3 linked regions of the Elephas maximus indicus genome follow. The protein of the gene in region 3 interacts with the protein of the main gene of each other region in a pairwise test. Links are inferred from orthologs where the notes say so. Each region holds a gene or a part of one and is shown on either strand. Other genes may lie near its edges. The genes, in order: PDZD4, NUDT18 and APIP.

Region 1 (7,860 bases), on a different chromosome or scaffold from region 3:
GGACAGAGTAGAAGTGCCCCATAGAGTTTCCAAGGAGCACCTGGCGGATTCAAACTGCCCACCATAGCACTTAACTACTATACCAGCAGGGTTTCAAGGAAATGCAAATCAAAACCACAGGATACGACTTCACCCCTCACTGGGATGGCTATTATCAGGAAAAACCTGAAAACAACAGGTGTTGGGGAGGATATGCAGAAATTGGAACCCTTGTGACTTGCTGATGGGAATGGAAAACAATTTGGCGGTTCCTTAGAAAGTTAAACATAGAATGATAATACGACCCAGCCATCTCACTCCTAGGTATATGCCAAAAAGAATTTGAAAACAGGTGTTCAAACAAAAACTTGTATAAGAATGTTCATAGCAGTATTCACAACAGCCAAAAGGTGGAAAGAACCCAAGAGTCCATCAATAGATGAATGGATTAAGCCAATGACACATACATACACCAGAGTATTACTAAGCCAGAAGGAAGAAGGAAGTCCTGATACATCTCTGCTACAGCAGAGATGAACCTTGAAAATATTATGCTGAGTGAAAGATGCCAGATTAAAGAAAAAAAACATATACTGTATGATTCCATTTATATGAAATGTCCAGAACAGGCAAATCTATGGAGACAGAAAGTAGGCTGGTGGCTGTTGAGGGCCGGGGAGACGTTAGCAGGAAATGGGAAGTGGCTGCTACTGGGTATGGGTTTTCTTTTAGAGGTGATGAAAAGTTCTAAAACTGATTGAGGTGATGGTTACACAACTCTGTTGAATACACTAAAAATCCCTGAATTGTACACTTTAAATGGATAAACCATATGGTGTGTGAATTATATCTCAATAAAGCTGTTACTTAAAAAAAGTGCCTATGTGTCATTGGGAGGAAAGGGTTTGGAACTCCAGGCTAGGATAGATTTGGGGATTCTTAATTGGGGGGAGGGGCGGGGCGCAGACCTCAAGACCAAGGAAGAGTTATATGGAAACTGTACTACACATGGAAACCCTGGTGGCCTAGTGGTTAGGAGCTACAGCTGCTAATCATAAAGGGTGGCAGTTGAAATCCACCAGGTGCTCCTTGGAAACTCTACGGGGCAGTTCTACTCTGTCCTATAGGGTTGCTAGGAGTTGGAATTGATGGCAACAGGTTTGGTTTTGTTTTTTTGGTGCTACACACAGACATTTCTCTGAGAGGCAGCCCCACGCATCATGTCTTGGTGGGGTCTCTGACCTTGTTGAGGTGCCATGGTGAGCGCTGACCAGGTCGCTCAGGAGGTGGGTGAGGGCAAGGAGAGACAGGGAGAGGTGCCAGCTGAAACGAAGGGCACCAGTGACAAGGAGAGGGGATCCAGGCAAGGGTCTGGGAAGTGGACTGATCTTTCAGGACAAGAGTTTCATTCTCCTCTGAGAGGTGGCACGAGCCTGGGGACACTTTCCTTACTGTGCCCAGGAATCCATTGTCACTCCAGAAGCCAAGTCACCTGAGACATCTAATGGTTTTCCCTGCTTTCCATATCTTGTTTGTTCAATCCCCTTTTGTTGCCCCTTCCTTTTAAAGAAGGGTTCTCTTAAAACTAACTCCATCCCATCTCAGCTGGTGCCAAGGGGGATAAGGAAAGTGATGGTTTGTGTCCAAAGTTCAGCAGGAGCTTTAAAGGGGAGTGGTGACCCCTGGGGCGCCGATCAGTGGCAGCTGCAGGTCCGGAAGGAGCACAGAGGAGCACAGAGGGTGGCTGATGGGCCCCTCCCCGGATTTCCTTCCCAAGTCCATTCATTGGGGGTGGGGAAGGCTGGCATTCTCCCGCTCAGGTTTGCCTCAAGCCTTTCTTCCAAACTGAGCCTCCCAGAAGGCAGCGTCCCCTCCCACCAACTGCTCACTTCAGTCCTGTGGCAAGGCTCCAGTAGCCCTCCCCTTTCCACACAGCCTGGGGAGGCTAGTCTGAAATGAAGCCCTCCACCAGCTGCTCTCCAAGAAAGTGAAGAGACTCCGCCACTAAGAAGCTGCTTGTCATTTGATGGAATGATTGCAGGAAAAGAAGCTGTGAGATGGGATCCTGTGCCCCTTCAACAGCCCAGCCACCTCCTCCCGCAGCCCTGGAGCTGACACTGGGCTGGGTAATCCCAGAACCCTCTCTCGCTAAAGGAGAATGGCGATCTCCCAGGCCAGGTTCTCAAACAGCTAGAACCAGAGAAAAGAGAGAGGGGTGGGAAAGGAGTGCGGGGGGGGGGGCTAGAATGGGGGGGCACGGAGAGGGCAGCGAGCGGAAGGCCGCGGTGTCTGGGGAATTCCCTCCCACTCGTCTGGGTAGCCCCTGCAGGGCTCCCCCGCCCCGGCTACACTTGCTTCCGGTCCTCACCACCAAATCCAGAGTTCCACCCCAGCCGCTGGTGTAGCACCTGTCCGTGCGCCCGGCTCTGCCACTGGCCTCCCTCCGCTAAGGCCCGGGTCTCAGTCCTCACCGTGCGGAACCTTACTCTAGACAGATCGCAGGGTCCACACAGAAAGTGCACACACGCGGGGCTGGGCCTCCGCGCACACAGACGGGCACAGGCACGCACTCACGCAGGCACGCGCACGGGCAGGAGGCCCGCTTGGGGCGCCGGCTGAGGTCGGGTCCGAGCGCGCTGCCCGGTCCACGCCCCCCGGCGCCGCCACACACGAGGGCAGCGGGCTCCGGCCCGCCCCGCCTGGGGCCACAGCGGGCCGCGCCCCTTCTCAGCCCGCCCGCCGCCGGCGGCCCTACCTGCAGCATCACCTTGTACTGTTCCTCCGGCTTCTGCACCACGCACATATTGCACCCCATGGTGCCGGCGGCGCCTGAGCGCGGGGCGCGATCAGCGGGCAGAGCGAGGGCCCCGGGCTCCCGGGCCAGTGGCCATGCCTTTCGCGGGTGACGGGCGGTGGGCGGCGGGCATGCCCCGCGGGGAGAGCAAGGCGGCGAGGGGGCGCGCGGGCCGTTAGCGGCCGTCAGGGCCCGGGGCTGCGCGCCTCTGCGCCCGCGGGGCCCGCCGCTGCCGCTACCGCCCGCGGCTCGCGCCCATGGCCGCCGGCGGGAGCCGGCTGGAGCTCGGCACGGCGGCCCGGCCGCCGACTACGGGGCGGCGGCGCGGCGGCGGCCCCCGCCCGGCCCGGCCCGCGCCTCCTGCTCTGGCTCGCTCGCCCGCCCGCCGCCCCGCGCTCTAGCCCTTCGCACCGCTCCAGCCCGCAGCGCCGCCGTCTGCAGCTCCCGCCTGAAGTACCGGCACGCGCGCGCGCCGCGGCTGGGGGCGGGGGCGGGGGCGGGGGCGGGGGCGGGGGCGGGGGCGGGGAGGGCGCGGACGGGCGCGCGCGCGCGGGCCGGGGGCGGGGCCTGGACGGGCCCGGCGCCCCGCAACCCCCCGCGGCCGGGCCCGGGACCTGCCGCCGGCGCTGTGCCGGCCGGCGAGAGGGTCCTGGGGGCGGAGCCGCGGTCCCCCCGAAGCCCTGAGCGCGATTGCAGCCCCTGTCCTAGGTCCCCGACAGAGCCGGCTGAATGCCTCCACTCCTCCCTCCGCCTTCCTTTCAATGACTTCTTTCCTCCTTCAACTCAGCGTTCCCGCCCTGTCGTTGAAATGGTCACCTTTGTTTAAAAAAAAAGAGAAAAGCCTGAGGTGCGGTGGGGTCGTGGGGAGAGCCAACGAGGCGACTCCGACTCCGTGGGGCCCTCGTGCGCACAGCGCTGGCTCGCCTGGTTCCCACCCCGCGCTCAGGCTTCCTCTTCTCTCCCAGATCCTGACCCTTCTTCTTGGACACGCCTGGAGAGAGGAGGCCTTTGCCTGGCAAGTAGCAGCGGCTTGAGGGCTGTGTTCCCAGGGGACCAGGGGAGCTGCTGAACCTGGCCCCCTGCCTGCAGGAGATTGCTTGATTAAATTGCTTCACGCTTCATTTCCAGGCTTGGGCAAGTGACAGAATCATTAACCACACCAAACCAAAACCAAACCCAGTGCGGTAGAGTCGATTCCGACTCACAGCGACCCTATAGGACAGAGTAGAACTACCCCATAGAGTTTCCAAGGAGCGCCTGGATTCAAATGGCCGACCCTCTGGTTAGCAGCCGTAGCACTTAACCACTGCGCCACCAGGGTATTGACCACACAGGGCTGCGTAATTAGCGGCGTTGGGGAAGGCTCCACCGAAGCCAGTCTTGTCTTCTGGCTCCTGGAGGACAGGAATGGGGAATGGTGGGCCTGCCTGGACTCTGGATCGGGGATCTGTTTTATCCTGGGTTTCTCCCAAAAAGGAGAACTTGAGAGCAGGGCCAGCGTACAGGTGGTTTGTGTTGGAATGCGGTCTTAGGGTTCAGGTATAGTTGCCTGGGGAGACAGAGGAAAGGAGGAAAGCCTGTGCAAGGGTGCATTCTTAGTGGGGCGCCACTCTGAGCAGCTGGTGCTTGACCCGGCAGGAGCTGGGTAGAATGCATCTCAGAACTGTCTGCCCAAGACCAAAAAAATAACCCAAACCTGTTGCAGTGGAGTCAATTCCGACTCATAGTGACCCTCTAGGACAGAAGAGAACTGCCCCATAGGGTTTCCAAGGAGCGGCTGGTGGATTCCAACTGCCAACCTTTTGGTTAGCAGCCAAGCTCTTAACTACTGTGCCACCAGGGCCCAAGACCAAAAAGGGGAGCATTTATTTATCCACTCCTATCCCCCTCTGCTCAAGAGTCACCCCACAAGGGAGAACTGCCTTGCATCCCCACAGGCCCCTACGAGAGAGGCACAGCAGCTGTGGAAACCTGAGTGTCCCAGCAATGGCTGGAGCAGATGGCAGGCCAGAAGGACGTGCAGCCAGGCACCAGAGATGTCCAGTCCCACCCACCCCTTGCAATGCTCAGATCTCCTCATACCCACCGTTACCTACAAGCGGACACTAAGTCGAAGTCTCTATAAGAGACGTCGTCAGGAGGGCCAGTGAAACGGGCTAGAGTCCCCGAGAATGTAACTGGGCTACCCATCATCTCCTCTGTAGCAGCTTCTTAAGTAACTTTTCATTTTGAAACAACCTTAGGTTGACAGAGAAATTGCGCAACACTACAGAGAGTTCCCATATACCTTTCTCTCCCCTTCCCCGAAGGTCAACATCGAGTGTAACCTCAGTATAATTACCAAAATTTGCGTATTAGCACGGACATAAGACAAAGAAAAAAAAATTTTTTTCTTTTTTTTTTAAGACTACTAGATAATCTCTGTGTTTACAAATGCCACCAGTTTTTCTACCAATGTCCTTTTTCTGGTTCAGAATCCAATTCAGGATCCCACACTATATTTAGTTGTCGTGTGTCCTTAATCTTCTCCAGTCTGAGCTCCTCAGTCCTTCTTGGCCTTTTCATGACCTTGAGACTTTTGAAGCATACTGGCCAGTTATTTTGTTGACTCTCCCTCCATTTGGGTTGTCTGGTGTTATCTCATGATTAGACTGAGGTTGTGCATTTTAGAAAGAATACCCCAGATGCCACGGACCATTCTCAGTGTATCATATTAAGGGGTACATGATGTCGCTATGTTTTATTACTCGTAATGTTAACCTTGGTCACTTGGTGTCTGCTAGGCTTCTTCGCTGTAAAGCAACTATTTTTCCCTGACGGCACCTAACAACAACAACAATTAATAAATATCTTGGAGACAATACTATAAGACTATGCAATATCTCGTTTCTACTCAAACTTTCACCAGCTGATTTTAGCATCCATTGGTGGCTGTCATGGATTGAATCATGTCCCCCCAGATATGTGTGTATCAGTTTGGCTGAGCCGTGATTCCCAGTACTGTGTGATTTTCCTATGTGTTGTAAATCCTGCCTCTCTGATGTTAATGAGGGAGGATGGGTGGCAGTTGTGTTAGTGAGGCAAGACTCAACCTACAAGTTTGGATTGTGTCTTGAGGCAATCTCTTGAGATATAAAAGAGAGAAGCAAGCAGACGGGCAGGGGGACCTCATAACACCAAGAAAGCAGCACCCAGAGCAGAGCGCATCCTTTGGACCCGGGGTTCCTGTGCAAGGAGCTCCTAGTCCAGGGGAAGATTGATGAGAAAGACCTTCCTCCAGAGGCAACAGACACAGAACCCTTCTCCTGGAGCTGATGCCCTGAATTTGGACTTCTAGCTTACTAAAAAAGACTGTGAGAAAATTAATTTCTGTTTATTAAAGGTATCCACTTGTGGTATTTCTGTTATAGCAGCACTAGATGACTAAGACAGTGATTATTGCTGGCAACCATTATTACTATGGTGTTTGCCTAATGGTGCTTTTTGTATTAGCTAGCTTTTGCTATGTAACAAACTATCCCAAAATGTGGTTTAAAACAACAATCATTTATTAGCTCACAGTTTTGTGGGTTGGCCATTTGGGATGGGCTCAGATGATCTGGGCAACCTGCTGGCAATGTAGCTGGGGCTGGATGGCCAAGAATGCCCTCAGACACATGGCAGTTGCTGGAAGGCTGCCAGCCAAAGTGCTCATTTCTCCTTTTCATGACTCCTCCAACAGGCGAGGTTGTCGTCATTCACGTGGTGGTAGAAGGGTTCCAAGCTGCATGAAAAGGCAAGGCCCACGGGCAGGCATTTTTCAAGCCTATGCTTTTTTTTTTTTTTTTTTGCTTGTGTTATAAAACCAAAGGAACCCAAACCCGTTGCCATCGAGTTAATTCCGACTCATAGTGACCCTATAGGACAGAGTAGAACTGCTCCATAGGGTTTCTCAGGAGTGGCTGGTGGATTTGAACTGCTGGCCCTTTGGTTAGTAGCTGACCTTTTTTTTTTTTTTTTTTACAGTCTATGATTTTTTTATTGAGATATTTTATCTGAAGGTACACAAAAATTAATCAATTGCTTTTAGCATGTGACTATGACATATCAACTCTACTGCCTCTCAATAAAGAGTCAACAATTACTTTTATAACATTAAGGTAATTAAAGTCAGTGGTAAAAGACAGTATCAAGTGAGACTTGTTAGCATTTATGACCAATCATAAATAAATAAATACCAATCTTAAAAACCACATTCCAGAGTAAGTGCAATCAAACCAAGTACAGACAAGAAAGTTCAAGGAGCTCACTGGCTTTGCTATATCAAACGGATAAAAAGTAAAATTGACTCCATATTACATACAGGTCTACATAAACAAATAAATGGACCCTATCGTTTCTTTCTGGGGGTACGCTTAGATTTCTTCTACCACTTCAATAGGATAAGCTCCTTAGAAAAAGATTGAAAAGGTTTGATAATCAACTCCCAAATTTTAGGCTTTGTTTTCCTACTTCTATCAGTTTCTTCACATATTTAGTATAAGCAGGAAAATCTTTCAGTAAATCAAGCACTTGCGAGTCTAGAAAGATCTGGAAGAGCTCTGGCAAGTTACATTTATATTACATACATATGTTGCTTTTGGTTTCCCATCTCTTCGTTGCTTCAGATCTCCATGCAAGTTTCTTCTTTTTTCAAACAACCTGTGAATTTTCAGCATCCTTTTCGGCTTTTACAAAGTTGTGGCAGGCGATAGCTTTGGCAATTTTAACACCAAGCTCTCGAGTAGCCAGCTAGTTGCTGAGTTCCTCAGTCTTCTCAATATTCCACTCTTTGGAAGTCTGGTCTATGCTCTTTTCAAGACCTGACTTGTCAATTTTTTTCTTTTTTACAGGGGGACCGAACCTATCATTGACTCCAAAGTATTGAGTAAGTTCCTTCCACTGGGTTTCATTTGAGAATTGTTTACTACAAGACGTCTCTTGATTCTTCAATTTACTCTTCCTGGAGCGTTTTCTTTTTTTCCTCCTGAATCTTGAGGTTGAGGTTTTCTGTTCAGAATGTTTTTAATGCAATTCTTAAAATTTATTCCACATATGTAAGAAAATGC
Region 2 (7,936 bases), on a different chromosome or scaffold from region 3:
ACATGCCCCTTTCATGTTCTAAGTGCCTGAGAGGACTCAGATGTAGGCATGTATGGAGGTGGACACAGGAAATGATGACTATATGACATCTCAGGTTCAGACAGTTCCCACATCCCCTTATGAAATAGCTTCAGTTTGCCCTCAGGGCAATCAGGTCCCCGAGCTCTGGACTCCTTGCTTGGTTAAAGGCACTGTCCTTCTTGGTGGGTGTGATGTAGGACCTGCTCCATAGCCAGGGAGAGATGGGAATCCCCTGAGAATCAAGAAAACTGCCCCTGCTCCCAATGCAACAAGATCCCTGGTCTCCAGCTTCCTGTCTCCCTCAGAGGAGAGATGAAGCCGTGGTGGAGGAGAGCAGCTTCTTGCCCACTCCTGGCCCCTTCCTATCTGTTGACTGGGATGACAGATGACTCCTGAAGCCTCTGTAAGAGCTGGCTTTGTAGGTCCTTCTCTACTACCTTCCACCAAAAGAAGTTCTCACCCCGAATCTTCGGGGGCTCATTTTGGATACCTGGGTTCCGGAAAGCCACTGTCACCAGCACATTCAGACAGATGCCATCTGTGTGGTCTTTGCCCAGATGCTGCAGTCCCAGCAACCCCTTGGTTTCCACTGCCAAATGGTGCAGGGTCAGACACTCCTGTAACAGCCGCAGGACGGCCATCTTCATGCCGCCCCTCTGCTCCATGGGGGTGAAGCCACAGGCCGTGATGGGCAAGTGAGGCATCCCCACGGTGCCCACCAACACCCACACAGTCTGGACACTGGTAAAGGTGGCCACGAGCCGTTGGCAGACCAGACTGCAGGGAAGCTCTTGGGGTAAAATTAGAGGGTGCCTAGCTTGCTGGCAATATTGGGCAGCTAGCTCTACCAGGTACAGCATGTCGTGGGCTCGCAATGGAGTAGGCAGGGAGGTTCGTGGGTACCAGCCAGCCTGTAGGGACTCTGCATCTGCATCCTTAGAAGTCTTGAGAATTCCACCTAAGGGGATTTGGGAGACAGGATAAGCAAAAGAGAAGTGCCTGGTCCGGCAGAGTAGAACAGACCCCCAGGCTCTCTAGCCCCGACCCAGGGAGGAGGCCCAGAGTTCTCAGGCTTGTACCAGCCACAAGAGGGCTGGCTGTGGAGGGGCTCGGCTCGTCTCACCTGAAGACAAGCTGGGGGAAAAGGTGTCAATTGCTCCCTGCCACCAGGCAATACTGTACCTGTGGGGCGAGCGAGGAACACAAAGCGGACCCAGGAGGGGCCCCGTTCCTCCACAGACAGCAGAGTCAGAGGCTCACACTGCAGTCCGGCCTCCTCCTTCACTTCGCGCTTCAGTGCCTCCACGATGGTCTCTCCCGGCTCCATTCTCCCGGCGGGTAGGTACCAGGACCCACGGCATTCTCGCTTGGCCTCCTGGATCAGTAGCACCTCATCCTGAAGGGAAAGAGAGGATCCTCACCCCCCCACCACAGCTGGTCTGGGGGCTCCAGTGCTGAGAAGTCCAGAGGAGCAGCATAGCCCCAAGCCCTTCCTTGCTGTAGGGCCTGATCACATCTCACATTCATTCTGCCTAACACGCCCCTCCTGACACCCAGCTGCCATCGCATCAACTCCAACTCATGGTGATGCATTATGTATTAGAGTAGAACTGGGCTCCACAGGGTTTTCGAGAGCTGATTTTTTGGAAGTAAGACCACCAGGCCTTTCCTCCAAGGTGCCTCTGGGTGGACTTAAACCTCCAACCTTCCGGTTAGCAGATGAGCACGTTAGCCATTTGCAGCACCCAGGGAGTCCTCCTTTCTGATGGCCACCGTCAAATGGTTGAGCTATTCAGGAGTACCTTCTGTAATTCTTCCCTCTTCAGATTCAGAAGGAGCCCTGGTGGTGCAGTGGTTAAGAGCTCAGCTGCTAACCAACATGGTCAGCAGTTCAAATCTACCAGCTGCTCCTTGGAAACCCTATGGGGCAGTTTCACCCTCTCCTACAGGGTGACTATTCTGACTCGACTGCAACGGCTTTGTTTTTTGGTTTTAGATTCAGGAAGACTTCCTCTTGAGAAAGGGGCTGAGATTCCTGGGTGTTGCTTCAGGGGTTGGGCGTGTGGCCCCAGAGTGAGACTCACTATGAGTCCTGAGCTGAATCATGTCTATATTTGTCACTATGTATCTAGACTCGCCACATAGTTGATTAACTGCTTATGACTCGTCCTTTCACTAATGGCTACATTTTGAATCATGCCCTTCCTCAACCCTATGTAACCCTATGTATGGTCCTGGCCCCTTCTAGCTGTTATTACAGCAACTTGTACAGGAAAATCAGTACCAAAAAGGGCATTAGACAGGAGTCAGAAGGCCTGAGTGTAAGTGTGGGTTCTGCTATTGCTATTCGTGGGGCCCAGGGGAGGTCTCCGATCTTCAAGAGAGCCCACTACGTGCCAAGCACTGTACTGGACTCCTGGGAAAGGAAGATGAGTAAGACAGCCCTCCCCTCAAGGTTCTGAGGCCTAGGGGACAAACCTGGGAAAGAGTTCCAGAGCCCCTGGGCCTCAGTTTCCTCCTCTGTACATCGGGATGATAGCAGTCCTGGACCGCACCAGGCTCAAATGCTAGTGTAAGTGAAAGTGCTTTGCAAAACTGGAAAATGCCACACACAAGCGAGCTGCGGTTGTCTCCACCTGGGCTGCCTGCGTGCTCGAGAGGCCCGGCGGTGGGGCTGGCGGTCGGCCGCGGCCACTCACCTGCTCGTTGAGGAACACCGCCAGCACGACGTAGCAGACGTTCTTCCGCAGCCGCACCGGGGCCACCAGCTCCTCGGCCGGCACCGAGTCGCAGCTCTGCACGAGCGGCCCCCCGCCCTCCAGCACGTCCGCCAGCGCCCCCGCCAGGCCTTCAGAGGCCATCGGGTCCCGTGGGAGGCGGCGGGCGCTGACCGCGCAGAGCAGCCCGACGCAGTGCGACGCGAGCCGAGCGTGTGGCCGGCCGGTCTCTCCCCACCCCCTGCCGCGGCCTCGGCCCGGGCGCGCTCGCGAACGCGGAAGGGCCGGCGAGCCCTCGCCGCTGATAGGCTGCGCGTCACCGCGGCCGGCCCCGGTTGGCTGGCCAGCGCAGGGCCCGGAGGGGGCGGAGCCAGTCCAGAGGGGGCGGAGCCAGCCCGGAGCGCAGGGGGAGCCGCCGGGCAGCGCGGCCTCCCGCCGGGCGTCGGCTGCTCCTGCAGCCTCCTCTGTCTTTCCGGATTTCTCCCGCCGCCGACCTCGCTCATTCCTTTAGTGCGCACTTGCCTCTACTGGTTCCGAAGGTGACGTCATCCTGCCTGCCGGGTGCAGAGACGCCCCAGTGGCTAGCGACGATGACGTGACAACGAGCGCGATGACGTCACGGGGCTTTGGCACGCGGCTTAGATCCACTTTGGAACTTTTGTTGTAAACAAGCAATGCCATTACTCCAGAGGATCACTTTCCAAATGACTTTCTTCTTTCAATGTCACATGGCAGGGGAGACCTAACCCCCGTGTTGGAGATTCTAGTTGGGGAGATGGACATATACATATAAAAAAGGCATCTGAGGGTTATAAGCTAAGTGCTAAATGAGTGATGTGGCAGGAGGTGTGACAGGCACTCGGAGAAGGGAGAGGTCACCTCCGGGATGACCAAGGTGTGGTACGGCGGGCGGGGGGGTTGGGGGATAGGCTGAGAGAGGGCCTGGAATCAGCCGGCCAAGCCTCATCAGTGTAGGACGTTACGCTTCTTCCTCTTTGTTTCCTTCCACGAGTACACGGGCCTGGCACATTGAGAACAGGGTGTGGGTTGTTTTGGTGAGCTCTGCTTCTCTCCCAGGCTGACCTTTCCTCCTCAGAGCTTCCTTTAACCTCCTCAAAGGACAGGAAGTCTGGACCAGCTGGAATGAAACTATGAAGCAAGCCAAGTCTGGGCTCCTCACCTCCATTTAGGCCTCCCCTTTACTCTTTCCCTCCTGCTGGCTTTGTGTCCCTCCCTTTTGAGAGAGTGCCTGTGGTGAGATGGATAAAGCATTGGACTTGAAGCTAGAAAGTCTGGCCACTGCCCCTGGCTTGCTCTATGCCCTTGGGAAAGTTATGGGCCTCCGTTTCCTCATCTGTAGAATAAATAGAATCATAAAAACTCTTCACAGGGTTGTTTGGGAGGTGAGGCGAGATGTTGTGGGAGTTGCTCTGTGCACTGTCCAGTGTTGGGCAGAGGGAGGTGCCATCATCCGGCAGCCCCCCAACCCTCCAGGCTGAGCCCTCCTGGCCACAGGACTTGCAATGAAAAAAGGCGCTCCCCCTCATGAAATATGCCTACAGGGCCACCATAGCACTAAACTTTATTCTCGGGAACTCCAGCCACACTATGTTTGCCTCTTTAGGCCCTTCTCATACATACTGACACTAACTGCAAGTTCCCTGGAGGTAGGGCCCTATGTTCAGCCGCAGGACAGCCCCGGTGGGCTCGTGAACTTTTGAGACACTTGGTGAATGCTGCTGCCCTCAGCCATATCCAAGACTTCCTTACCTCCCAGACAACTGAACTTACAAGACTGAGAGCCAGGACCCCAGGACTGCAGAGCAACTTGTTAACTTATTTGCTCTATGTGTGTGTGTTTATCCCTTGGTTTTCCCATCTGTGAAGTGGGGACAGCGTTGGTCCCAGACGCCTTTCTGCCTCCCAGGGATGATTTGAGAGGGAGTGAGGTCATGTCTGGGCAAGGCTCTGAGAGCCTCAAAGGCAGCCTAAGATAAACACCAGACAGCCTAACTGCCTGGAAGAGCGAAGACTACAACAAACCGCGGCTCCACTCCCCCCATTATCACTGAGGGAAAGTCTTCCTCTGCTACCCCAAGTGGGCCTAATCACCGCTGTGGCGAAGATCACATGAGGCAATGGAATGTGCAAAAGTCCCTTGTAAACTGTGAAGGGCTGCACACATGGGAGGGACTGTTCAGCCCTTTCCCAATGCTAAAGGAGACAACAAAGACTCTTCTCAAGGCATTGAGAGGAAGGGAGCATATTCAAGAGACCCTGAGACAGAAAGAGGGAAAAGCTGAGGAGGGAGAGGGGCTGAGATAGAAAGACACGGAGGCTGAGGCAGCTAGGTGCTGAAAGAGACCCAGCCAGTGAGGGTGGTCCTCTAAAACCAGGAACCAAGAAAGATCTCTGTCAAGTTAGGTCTGTGTCCTCCATTCCCAGACAGGGAAGAAAACTGGCTGGTGTGGGTGCCACTCAAGCAATACCAGTGGAGCGAACAGGAACAGCCTGACTGGTACAGTGCCATGCTCCCAACACCTATGGGAGAGAAGCCTGGGCCAGCCATTTCAAGGTGCATACACGTGTGTGCGTGTGAACACGTGTGCGGAAAGGCCTGTAGTAGGGAGCATCAGGGACAAGGGTGGGGCAAGAGTATCTGTGACACTAAAGGCATGTACAGAGTAGCAAATCTTCTTGTCTCTTAACAAAGCATGAAAGGTGAGGAGGGCCATAGCCCAAGCTTCCAGGCCCTCTTACGAAAGAAGTCTGGCTCAGGCTGGGCTCTGCCACTAGCTTGTTGAGTGACCTTAGAGGAACCACATCTATTCTCTAGGCCATCTGTGAAAAGAAGGCATTGTTGGATCCTGGATCAGAAAAAGGACATTAGTGAAAAGCTGGTGAAATCCCAGTAGAGTCTGTTGCTTTGTTAACAAAGTTGTATCAATGTTGATTTCTTAAAAAAAAAAAAAAATTTTTTTTTTTGATAAATGTACCATGGTGTCTTATAAGATGTTAACATTAGGGGAAGCTGGGTGAAGGGTAATTGGAAACTTTCTATCATATCTTGCAGCTCTTCTGTAAATCTAAAATTATTTCAAAATAAAAAGTCTAAACAATTTATAAGAAAAAGAAGGTATTGGATGCGAGGGGATATACACGCTCTGAGCTCATGTCCAGCTCTGAGGGCTGTACATGTGAAATCTGGCCAGTGAGAGGGGCTGGAAACAACAGAAGATTGACAATGGGGATGCTGGGACAGGCCTGTGAGAAGCAGAGGCCCAAAGGGCAGGTCTAGACTGGGGTCAAGCAGCCGCCGAGCCTATATGAGATACAGTGCTATCGAGTGCCCATAGGCCCAGTCTCAGGGTCCGTGCCCACCTGGACCGGGCCAGCCCTGGAACAAATGAACACTGATCCACCTGCTGTTTATAAGCAGTCAGACCACATATGACCTCTGGGATGGGTCACCATGATGGGGTAGGGGTGTGATGCAGATTGGGGGAGGTCTGTGTGGGGAAGAGAGGCCCAGTGACTCCTTAATGGCAAAAGTTCAGAGCACCATCTTTCCACAGCAGGGACCCTGTACTTTGGGTTCTGGGGTGACATCAGGACACGGCTATACACAGTGAAATGTAAGTGGGAATGGGTCATTCAGGGCTACTTGGAACATGATCAGACATAAAGTGCTTAATGTTGGAAGGAGGAGGACAGAGAAGAGGGCAAACCCATCTTTAAACTCCATTAAGAGCTCAGACTATAATGTAAACGAGATGGCTTGAGTCAGAAAACTTGGTTCAAATCCCAGTTCTGCCACTCAAATAGCTGTGTGACCTTGGGTGACTGTCTTAACCCTAATCTGCCCATGTCCTCATCTGTAAAATGGAAATAACATCTACCTCAAAATGTTGGTAAGAGATTATATGAAATAATTTAAATGAACACAGTGCAGTACCTGGTAAAGTGTAGGACTTCTCTATTTTTTTATCCCATGAAAAAAATAACCTAGCTTTCTGAACAATGAAGAAATCTAAATTAAAAAAAAGAGGGGGGGATGGTTACATAAATCATGGCAAAACCACTTAATGGGATATAATGGGACATTTCAATGAAGGTTTGGTAGCAACTTGGACAATGTCTATAATACAATGTTAAAAGACAGAAACCAAGTACAAAACCTTGTGGAAAATACCAAAAGGAAACATACCAAAATACTAATAGTGGTTCAGCCTAGAGCAGGTAGGGATGGGTTTACAGGTGGCTTTTTCTTATTTTGTAATTTTTCTTAAAGTATATTAACGTTTAAAAAAAAATTATTTAATAAAAAAATTCCCCTAACCACCACAGAAACAATCAGGTATAACAATACTTGGCGCATGTATGGGGCTGAGATATACAAGCAGAGGGGTGGAGGGGCAGAGTCACACCAGAGGGAAGTGGGGGGCAGTCAGCTGTCTGAGGCACTCAGGGCTGACCCGCTGGGCAAGGGCTCCTCTGGGCCACATGCATGGATCTCTACCTCAGGTCAGACAGGAGAGGTGGGTGGCTGGGGCCTGGGGTTTGCAGAGAGGGTTGCAGATCCAGGGTCTCTGCGGGCCATTGCTGCCCAGGGAAGCAGTGCTGTTCTGCCCCAGGGCTCTGCCTCAATGCTGTGTCTGTCAGGAGCCATCTTTGGGGGGCAGCCACATAGAAGGCTTTATCTTCTCAGTGAGAGCCAGGGACCTGGGCCCCCAGGAAAAGAGCAGGCAGAGGTGCTGCCGGTCCCTGTTACCCCGGCCCCAGGTTCCCACCCACCCACTCCATTTGCCCCTGCTCCTGAGCAAATTTCCATGTCTCCTCTCCCTCCCCAGACCACGTGGCCTGCATGAGCAGTGCCAACCACACTGGCAGCGTTCACAGAACAACAGACTTTAATGGAAATCTCAAAGGAGAGAGGACGGAGGGAGGGAGGAGCACAGGCAGGGTGGCATCGCCCCAATCACTCCCTCCAGCCAAGCCCGGGCAGTCCCCTGGTCCCATCCCTTCCCCACACTTCACAGCTCTCCAGTGAGAGGGCAGATTTCAAGGGCCCCTTGCCCAGCAATGCCTGCAGTGCAAAGGGTTGCCCAGGGCCCAGGGAGGATGAGGGTGGTGTGAACAGAGCTCAGGGCATGGGTGGGGGCAGAAGGTGATGAGGCAGCGGAAGGAGGTATTGCTAA
Region 3 (7,593 bases):
CATAAATCCATCCACATATGAGCAGCTGACATTTGACAAAGGCCCCAAATCAGTTACATGGGGAAAAGAGTCCCTTTAACAAATGGTGCTGGCATAACTAGATATCCATCCGCAAAAAAATGAAACAAGACCCATACCTCATACCATATGCAAAAACTAACTCACAATGGATCAAAAACCAAAATATAAAATCTAAAGTGATAAAGATCATGGAAGAAAAAATAGGGACAATGCTAGAAGCCCTAATACATGGCATAAACAGTATACAAAATATTACTAACAATGCACAAACACCAGTAGAGAAACTAGGTAACTGGGAGCTCCTAAAAATCACACACTTACGCTCATCCGAAGACTTCACCAAAAAAGTAAAAAGGTTACCTACAGAGTGGGAAAAAGTTTTTGGGTATGACAAATCCGATCACCATCTGATCTCTAAAATCTACATGATACTGCAAAAACTCAACATCAAAAGGACAAATAACCCAATTAAAAAATGGGCGAAGGATATGAACAGGCACTTCACTAAAGAAGACATTCAGGTACCTACCAGATACATGAGGAAATGCTCATGATTATTAGACATTAGAGAAATGGAAATCAAAACTACAATGAGATTCCATCTCACCCCAACAAGGCTGGCATTAATCCAAAAAACACAAAATAATAAATGTTGGAGAGGTTATGGAGAGACTGGAACACTTATACACTGCTGGTGGGAATGTAAAATGGTACAACCACTTTGGAAATCAATTTGGTGCTTCCTTAAAAAGCTAGAAATAGAAGTACCACACGATCCAGCAATCCCACTCCTTGGAATATATCCTAGAGAAACAAGAGCCCTCGCACGAACAGATATATGCACACCCATGTTCACTGCAGCACTGTTTACAATAGCAAAAAGATGGAAGCAACAAGGTGCCCATCAACAGATGAATGGGTGTATATATATATATATATGGTACATTCACGTAATAGAATACTATGCAACAATTAAGAACAACGATGAATCTGTGAAACATTTCATAACATGGAGGAATCTATGAGGCATTATGCTAAGTGAAATTAGTTGCAAAAGGACAAATATTGTATGAAACCACTATTGTAAGAACTCACGAAAAAGTTTAAACACAGAAGAAAACATTCTTTGATGGTTACGAGGGTGGGGAGGGAGGTAGAGAGGTATTCACTAATTAGATAGTAGACAAGAACTACTGAGATGAAGGGAAAGACCACATGCATTAGAGGAGAGTTCAGCACAACTGGACTAAACCAAAAGCAAGTAAGTTTCCTGAATGCTACCAAACCCTTTGAAGGCCAGAGTAGCAGGGACGTGGGTCTGGGGACCATGGTTTCATGGGATATCTAGGTCAACTGGCATAACAAAATGTATTAAGAAAACATTCTGCATTCCACTTTGGTGAGTGGTGTCTGGGGTCTTAAACACTAGCAAGCAGCCATCTAAGATGCATCAATTGGTCTCAACCTACCTGGAGCAAAGAAGAAAGAATACCAAAGACACGAGGTAAATATGAGCCCCAGGGACGGAAAGGGCCACATATCCAAAGACTACATCAGTCTGAGACCAGAAGAAAGAGAGAATGCCCAGTTACCACCCATGACTGCCCTGACAGAGAACAAAACAGAATCCCTGATGGAGCAGCAGAACAGTGGGATGCAGACCTCAAATTCTCGTAAAAAGACCAGACTTAACGGTCTGACCTAGACTAGAGGGACCCCAGAGGTCACGGTCCCTGGACCCTCTGTTAGCCCAAGACAGGAACCATTTCTGAAGCCAACTCCAGGCAGGGACTGGAGCGGACTACAAAACAAAAAATAATACTGGTGAGGAGTAAGCTTCTTGGCTCAAGTAGACACGAGACCATGTGGGCAGCTCCTGTCTGGAGGAGAGATGAGAAGGCAGAGGGGGACAGAAGCTGGCTGAATGGACACAGGGAATACAGGTTGGAGAGGAGGAGTGTGCTGTCTCATTATCGGGAGAGAAGCTAGGAGTACATAGTAAGGTGTGTTTAAGTTTTTGTATGAGAGACTGACTTGATTTGTAAACTTTCACTTAAAGCACGATAAATTTAAAAATTTTTAAAAAGAAAATCTATGGATCACATCAGAACACTGTCCAACTCACTTGCTTTGAACTCATCACCAGGAGGGAACAATCGCTAGAGGACAACATTTACCCTGAAGTAGAGGGCCATGGATACCTCTGTGAGATGGACTGGCACAATTGCTGCAACTATGCACTTGAACATGCCAGTTATCATGAGGATGATACAGGACTAGACATCGTCTTCTGTTGTACTTAAGGTTGCCATGTGTAACATAAAGAAATAATGTCCAGTTTGAATCATCCTTATGATCACTGGCATCTATGAGAGAGTAAAAAATATATAGTCTGTGAGTAGATTTTCCTTTGACTTCAGCTTAAGGAAGAATCGTTTTCATGATCATTCCATAATCTAAACTGAGGTAGGCAAACAGCATCTGCTCAAAGGAAAAGTGCTCGCTACTGAGGCTTAGCTCTGGTTCGGCAAACGTTTCCTGAGTGCCTGCTGTGTGCCAAACGTCGAGTCAGTCGCCAGAGGACAGAAAATAAGTTCGAGGAGCTCAAACTGTTAGTTAGCTTCAGTTCCACTCCAGGACTCTTCGTTTCTTTCCTCGTCCTGCCTTCCTGACAAGTGGTTTTAAAACACACTTATAAGACGCCCAAACGCACTCCCCGCTCCGTTATTTTTCCTCTTGCACGTTGGGGGACAGCTCCCGCCGCTGCTGAACCCAGCCAGGGTAGCGGCGATCGTCACGGGTGCTGCCCTCAACTCCGCGAGGGGAAGCAGCGGGGTGCGGGGGTCGTGTCCCCTCAGGCCCGAAGCACCGCCCAAGGCTCCACGCCTCGCTGGCGACCCTAAGACAGGCCCACGTCCGAGCTCCGGCAGCAGCGTCCCAACAGCGCCTTGCCTCATTGGAATAAAGGACACCGGTGGTACCGCCCCTACCTGAGCGAGGCATTGCTGCGGGAAACAGTCGCCTTCCGGAGCACGGCAGCCAGACATAGCCTGGACAAGATGGTCCCGCTGCCTCCGATCTTCGCACGGGATCGCTCCTGGAGTTCCACCTGGGTTCGCACGGTGAGGCCTCAGAAACAATCAGGCGGTGCTGAGGGCAGCCTAGAGGCGGGGTGGACAAGGTGGGAGGCGGGGCCTGAGAGGGCCTCACCGACTGGGAGATCCTGTGGCGAGGCAGGAGGGCCGGGGTGGGGCCAAAGAATTTGGGGGCGGGGCTAGGAGGGCGGCTTGACTCTGAGGCCCAAAAGCACAGCCCCAGCCAGGGGGCGTGATCAACTAGATTGGAGGCGGGGCCTGGGGGGGCCTCGATGACTGGGCGATCAGGCTGTGCTGCGGACAACCCGCGCGAAGGCTGGGAAAATGGCGGCCTCCTGGAGGTTAAGCTGTGACCCCCGTATACTACGCTACCTCCTGGGTTTCAGCGGCCGCCGAAGCCCCGGGCCGCTTAAGGGCCCCGGGCTGCTTAAGGGGGCTGCCGCGTGCTTTGGCGGCCGAGTAGGTAGTTGGAGATGGTTTCACGGCACACAGTGGATGCATGGTGAGTGAGTGGGGCTCGCTCAGCGCCTCTGTAGCTGAGCAATGGGCCCGAATAGGTCCATTACTAACTGAGGGTGTGCGTCTGGGTGTGGAGGTTCCCGCGGCTCCCTGTTCTCTTGGCTCGTCATCCGGGAGGGATCCGCGGGCTTGGCCTGGTGCATGCCGCAAAGGTTTTTCCTGGGTGTTGGGATATCTTTACTCCGTTTCTGGTCCCTCATCGTGATCCTGCTTTGAAATTTGGGTTATTTACGAGGCAGCGGAGAAAGGGCCTAAACGCCCTTCTGTCAGGTCCCTAACGAGTCACGCCTCAGGTTCCTTTAGGGTCGTCAAGCACCTCGTACGGGGGAAAGCTGCCAAGGTTGCTGACAGCTAAATGCCACTGTTAGACGTTTTTATTCATTCTGTATGACCATCTCTACTGAGAGGTTTTTTCCTAGAGGCCAGTCGGGTTGCCCCACGGATGTCTCCTAACGGACATGGTTTGTAAATGCCTATGGCATCACGGAGAGAGGTCTGAGTTACCGTCCCCTTGCTAAGAGGAGAATCATACCAAGACATTTATTGTAGAACGCTGTCATTTAGTAATGATGTTGACAAGATGAAATTGGCATAACCAAAACCAAACCAAACCCAGTGCCATCGAGTCGATTCTGACTCATAGAGACCCTATAGGACAGAGTAGAACTGCCCCTTGGAGTTTCCAAGGAGCGCTTGGCAGATTCGAACTGCTGACCCTTTGGTTAGCAGCTCTAGCACTTAACCACTACGCCACCAGGGTTTCCAGAAATTGGCATGCAGGGTATTATTTTTCCTTACATGGGACAGAAGAAAATAAGATTAGTGTTTTTTTGATTGACCTATTTATTACCTGCCAATCATCATTCCTGGGTCTCCACAGAATAATTTTTTGTTTTAAAAATTAGGTGCAGTAGGCATCATCTACATATTCTGAGCTACCTGAGGCTCAGAAAAGATAAGTTACACGAAGTCACACAATTAGATGAGTGCATTGGTGTTTCTAAAGATTAGGTGATGGAAACAATTTCAGTTTCTTCAGCATGATATTTCATAAAATATTCCTTGGAGTGATGGAAGCCCTCTCCCCCCTCCTCTACCCAAGTTTGTTAAAAATCGAATTTTTGTATAGCTCACCAAGATCCTGTCTGGGGTGAAGCCCAGGATTCTGCATTTTACAACCACCCTTAGGTGAGTTTTAATATAGGTGTTTGATGGACTACACTTTAAGATATACTGCCTAAGAAAATCATGGAATATTAAAAGCTCAGTGTTGGGAATAATCTAGGAAGAGTTTTCTTAACTTTGTTTATGAAACAGGTCCTTTTGAGGATCTTTGAATGCTCTAGAGCCTTTCTGCAGAGAAAGGGGCATATGTGTAAATACACAAAAATATGCATGCAATTTCAGAGGTTTTCCTTGGACCCAGTTGAGGGACTCCTGCCTTTAGAAACTCACTTAAACCTACTAAACCAAACCCACTGCTTACAGGACAGAGTAGAACTGCCCCTTAGAGAGAAACTCACTTAGGCAGTCCTTATTTGCATCATAACCTTCTACCCCCTTCCTTCCCACACACACACAGCATGAGTAACTTGTCTAACTCTGCTTGAACATCATCTGTAAGGAGAGGGAGCTACACCCCAAGGAAGGCTGTGTTGGTTTCCCATGGCTGCTGCAACAAATTAACACAAATTTAGTGGCGTAAAACATCACAAATTTCTTATCTTGCAGTTGTGGAGGTCAGAAGTCCAAAATTGGTTTCATGGGCTAAAATCAGGGTGTTGACAGGGCCATGTTCCTCTGGAGGCTCTGGCCAAGAATCCGTTTCCTTGCCTTTTCCAGCTTTTAGAGGTGGCCTGGATTCTTTGGTTCCTGGCTTCCTTCCATCTTCAAGGCCAGTGATGGTCAGCTCTGTCTTACATCAGTCTTGACACTTCCCCCTGCTTCCCTGTTAATTATAAGGACCCTTGTGATTGCACTGGGAACACCTGGATAATCCAGGGTACTCTGGCCCTCAGAATCAGTTGATGAGCAACCTAAATTCCATCTTCAGCCTTCATCTTCCTCTTACCTCGTAACATAACCACAGGTTCTGGGGTTAGGGTGTGGAAATTTGGGGGAGGGGTCGGTTATTCTGCCTACTGCAGATGCCTACTGTGTTATTGGATAGCTGTAAGTTATTTGGAAACTTTGGATTTTTTTTTTTTTCCTGTATCGAGCCAAAATTTATCTCCTTATGACTTTGACCTACAAGTTCTTGTTTTGCCATGCTGAATACATGTGGCAGTCCTTAAACTATTTGATTTACAAAGCATGAATTTACAGTGTCTTCCCAGTTCTTCATTGAGCTCTGTAGAAATTGTAGTCCCATGAAACTAAACAGCTATCTGGTAATCTGTAGGCTATGTGATTAAGTACATTAATGAACTGTTTCCTCTTTCACACCTTTCAAGGATTTAAAAACCTGTTAATTGGAAGTACCTTTGGAGTTTTGGTTTCCTTAAAAAGTGTTCATTGGCAGCATTTTTATAAGCTGTGACATACTTCATATGCTTACTAATTCCGAGAACTTCTTATCCGCTTCTCAAACAGCCTAGTAGAGTGGGCATTATCTGCATTTTTGATGGATGAAAATACTAAGGCTCTGGGAAATTAAGTAGGTCTCCATTATAATGTTAATGAGCTGAATGTATATTTTAAAACAAATTTTAGTAATATTTACATTGTGAATTAGCTTTAATAAATGAACTGTGTAAACCAGTTGCCCTGGAGTCAGTTCCAACTCATGGCAACCCCTGTGTGTCAGAGTAGAACTATGTTCCATAGGGTTTTCAATGACTGATTTTTCACAAGTAGATCACCAGGCCTTTCTTCCAAGGTGCCTCTGTGTGGACTCCAACCTTTCGATTAGCAGCCGAGTTAACCTCTTGCACCACCCAGGGACCCCTATATATTGCCTACCAAGTATACACACCCCATTTTATTTATGAAATCTGTTGATTCATATGCTTTCACTTAGCATCCAATGGCACATTTGTAAGGAGGCTGTCTGGAATTGTTAGGTAGTCTGTGGTTGTAGATATTTTTCCTATGAGTGAAATAAACTAAAAACGTCAGAAGACTTACCAACTTGTAATACGGGTCTTCTTAGTATTAAAGTGTAAAATTAAAATTCCTCATGAATCCCAGTTTATTTTGCAATTGTGGACAAGCGTAAAAAAAAAAAGTCACTTACAGTCTAGCAAAAGAATAAACAAGCACATATAATGGAAGATTTATACATTTTGTTTTAAGAGGCAAGCGACAAATTTCAGACAACAGTGATTTAATTGATACTTTTCTGCAACTGTGTAAATTATGGACTTTTTTTGTATTAAACGAAACGTTGTTGTTGGGTGCCTCAAGTCCATTCTGACTCATAGTGACTACATGGGACAAAGTAGAACTGTGCCATAGGATTTTCTTGGCTTTTTTTTTTTTAATCTTTATGTTAGCAGATCGCCATGTCTTTCTCCTGTGAAGCCACTGGATGGGTTCAAACTGCCAGCCTTTCGGTTAGCAGCCAGGCGCTTAACCATTGCACCACCACACTGCTAGGAAGAATTTAGGGAAACCCTGGTGGCATAGTGGTTAAGTGCTATGGCTGCTAACCAAAAAGTCGGCGGTTCGGATCCACCAGGCGCTCCTTGGAAACTGTATGAGGCAGTTCTGCTCTGTTCTGTAGGGTCGCTATGGGTCAGAATTGACTCGACACCAATGGGGTTTTCAAGTGTATAGTTCAGGAGATCTTGCTTGGGATTCTTCTAGCACTGGCTTTTAGAGGGGCACAAATCTATTTGAAACTGATAAAAGCTTTACCACTTCAGAAAAATGCATATATGCAAACTTTCGTATGTGCTTCCAGGGGCCTGAAAGACCCCCCTATAACTTATCTTTAAATATTTCCTAGTTCTAACCT

The links.
Region 1: the proteins of APIP (region 3) and PDZD4 interact in a two-hybrid assay, tested with the Homo sapiens proteins (2 studies listed by BioGRID and IntAct). The two-hybrid records come from large-scale screens. The link is inferred for Elephas maximus indicus from reciprocal best matches to the Homo sapiens genes APIP and PDZD4.
Region 2: the proteins of APIP (region 3) and NUDT18 interact in binary tests that used the Homo sapiens proteins (3 or more experiments, as listed by UniProt). The two-hybrid records come from large-scale screens. The link is inferred for Elephas maximus indicus from reciprocal best matches to the Homo sapiens genes APIP and NUDT18.

Annotation. Positions count from the first base shown.
Region 1 is NC_064846.1:2,522,641-2,530,500, reverse strand, and holds the start of PDZD4 (PDZ domain-containing protein 4), read right to left. Parts: upstream 3,002-7,860; 5' UTR 2,795-3,001; coding exon 2,735-2,794; intron 1-2,734.
Region 2 is NC_064840.1:52,592,444-52,600,379, reverse strand, and holds the start of NUDT18 (8-oxo-dGDP phosphatase NUDT18), read right to left. Parts: upstream 3,072-7,936; 5' UTR 2,883-3,071; coding exon 2,721-2,882; intron 1,418-2,720; coding exon 1,204-1,417; intron 980-1,203; coding exon 384-979; 3' UTR 1-383. UniProt on the Homo sapiens protein: Mediates the hydrolysis of oxidized nucleoside diphosphate derivatives. Hydrolyzes 8-oxo-7,8-dihydroguanine (8-oxo-Gua)-containing deoxyribo- and ribonucleoside diphosphates to the monophosphates. Hydrolyzes 8-oxo-dGDP and 8-oxo-GDP with the same efficiencies.
Region 3 is NC_064825.1:90,200,983-90,208,575, forward strand, and holds the start of APIP (methylthioribulose-1-phosphate dehydratase), read right to left. Parts: upstream 3,095-7,593; 5' UTR 3,069-3,094; coding exon 3,012-3,068; intron 1-3,011. Other genes in the region: PDHX (pyruvate dehydrogenase protein X component, mitochondrial), read left to right, coding at 3,441-3,618. UniProt on the Homo sapiens protein: Catalyzes the dehydration of methylthioribulose-1-phosphate (MTRu-1-P) into 2,3-diketo-5-methylthiopentyl-1-phosphate (DK-MTP-1-P).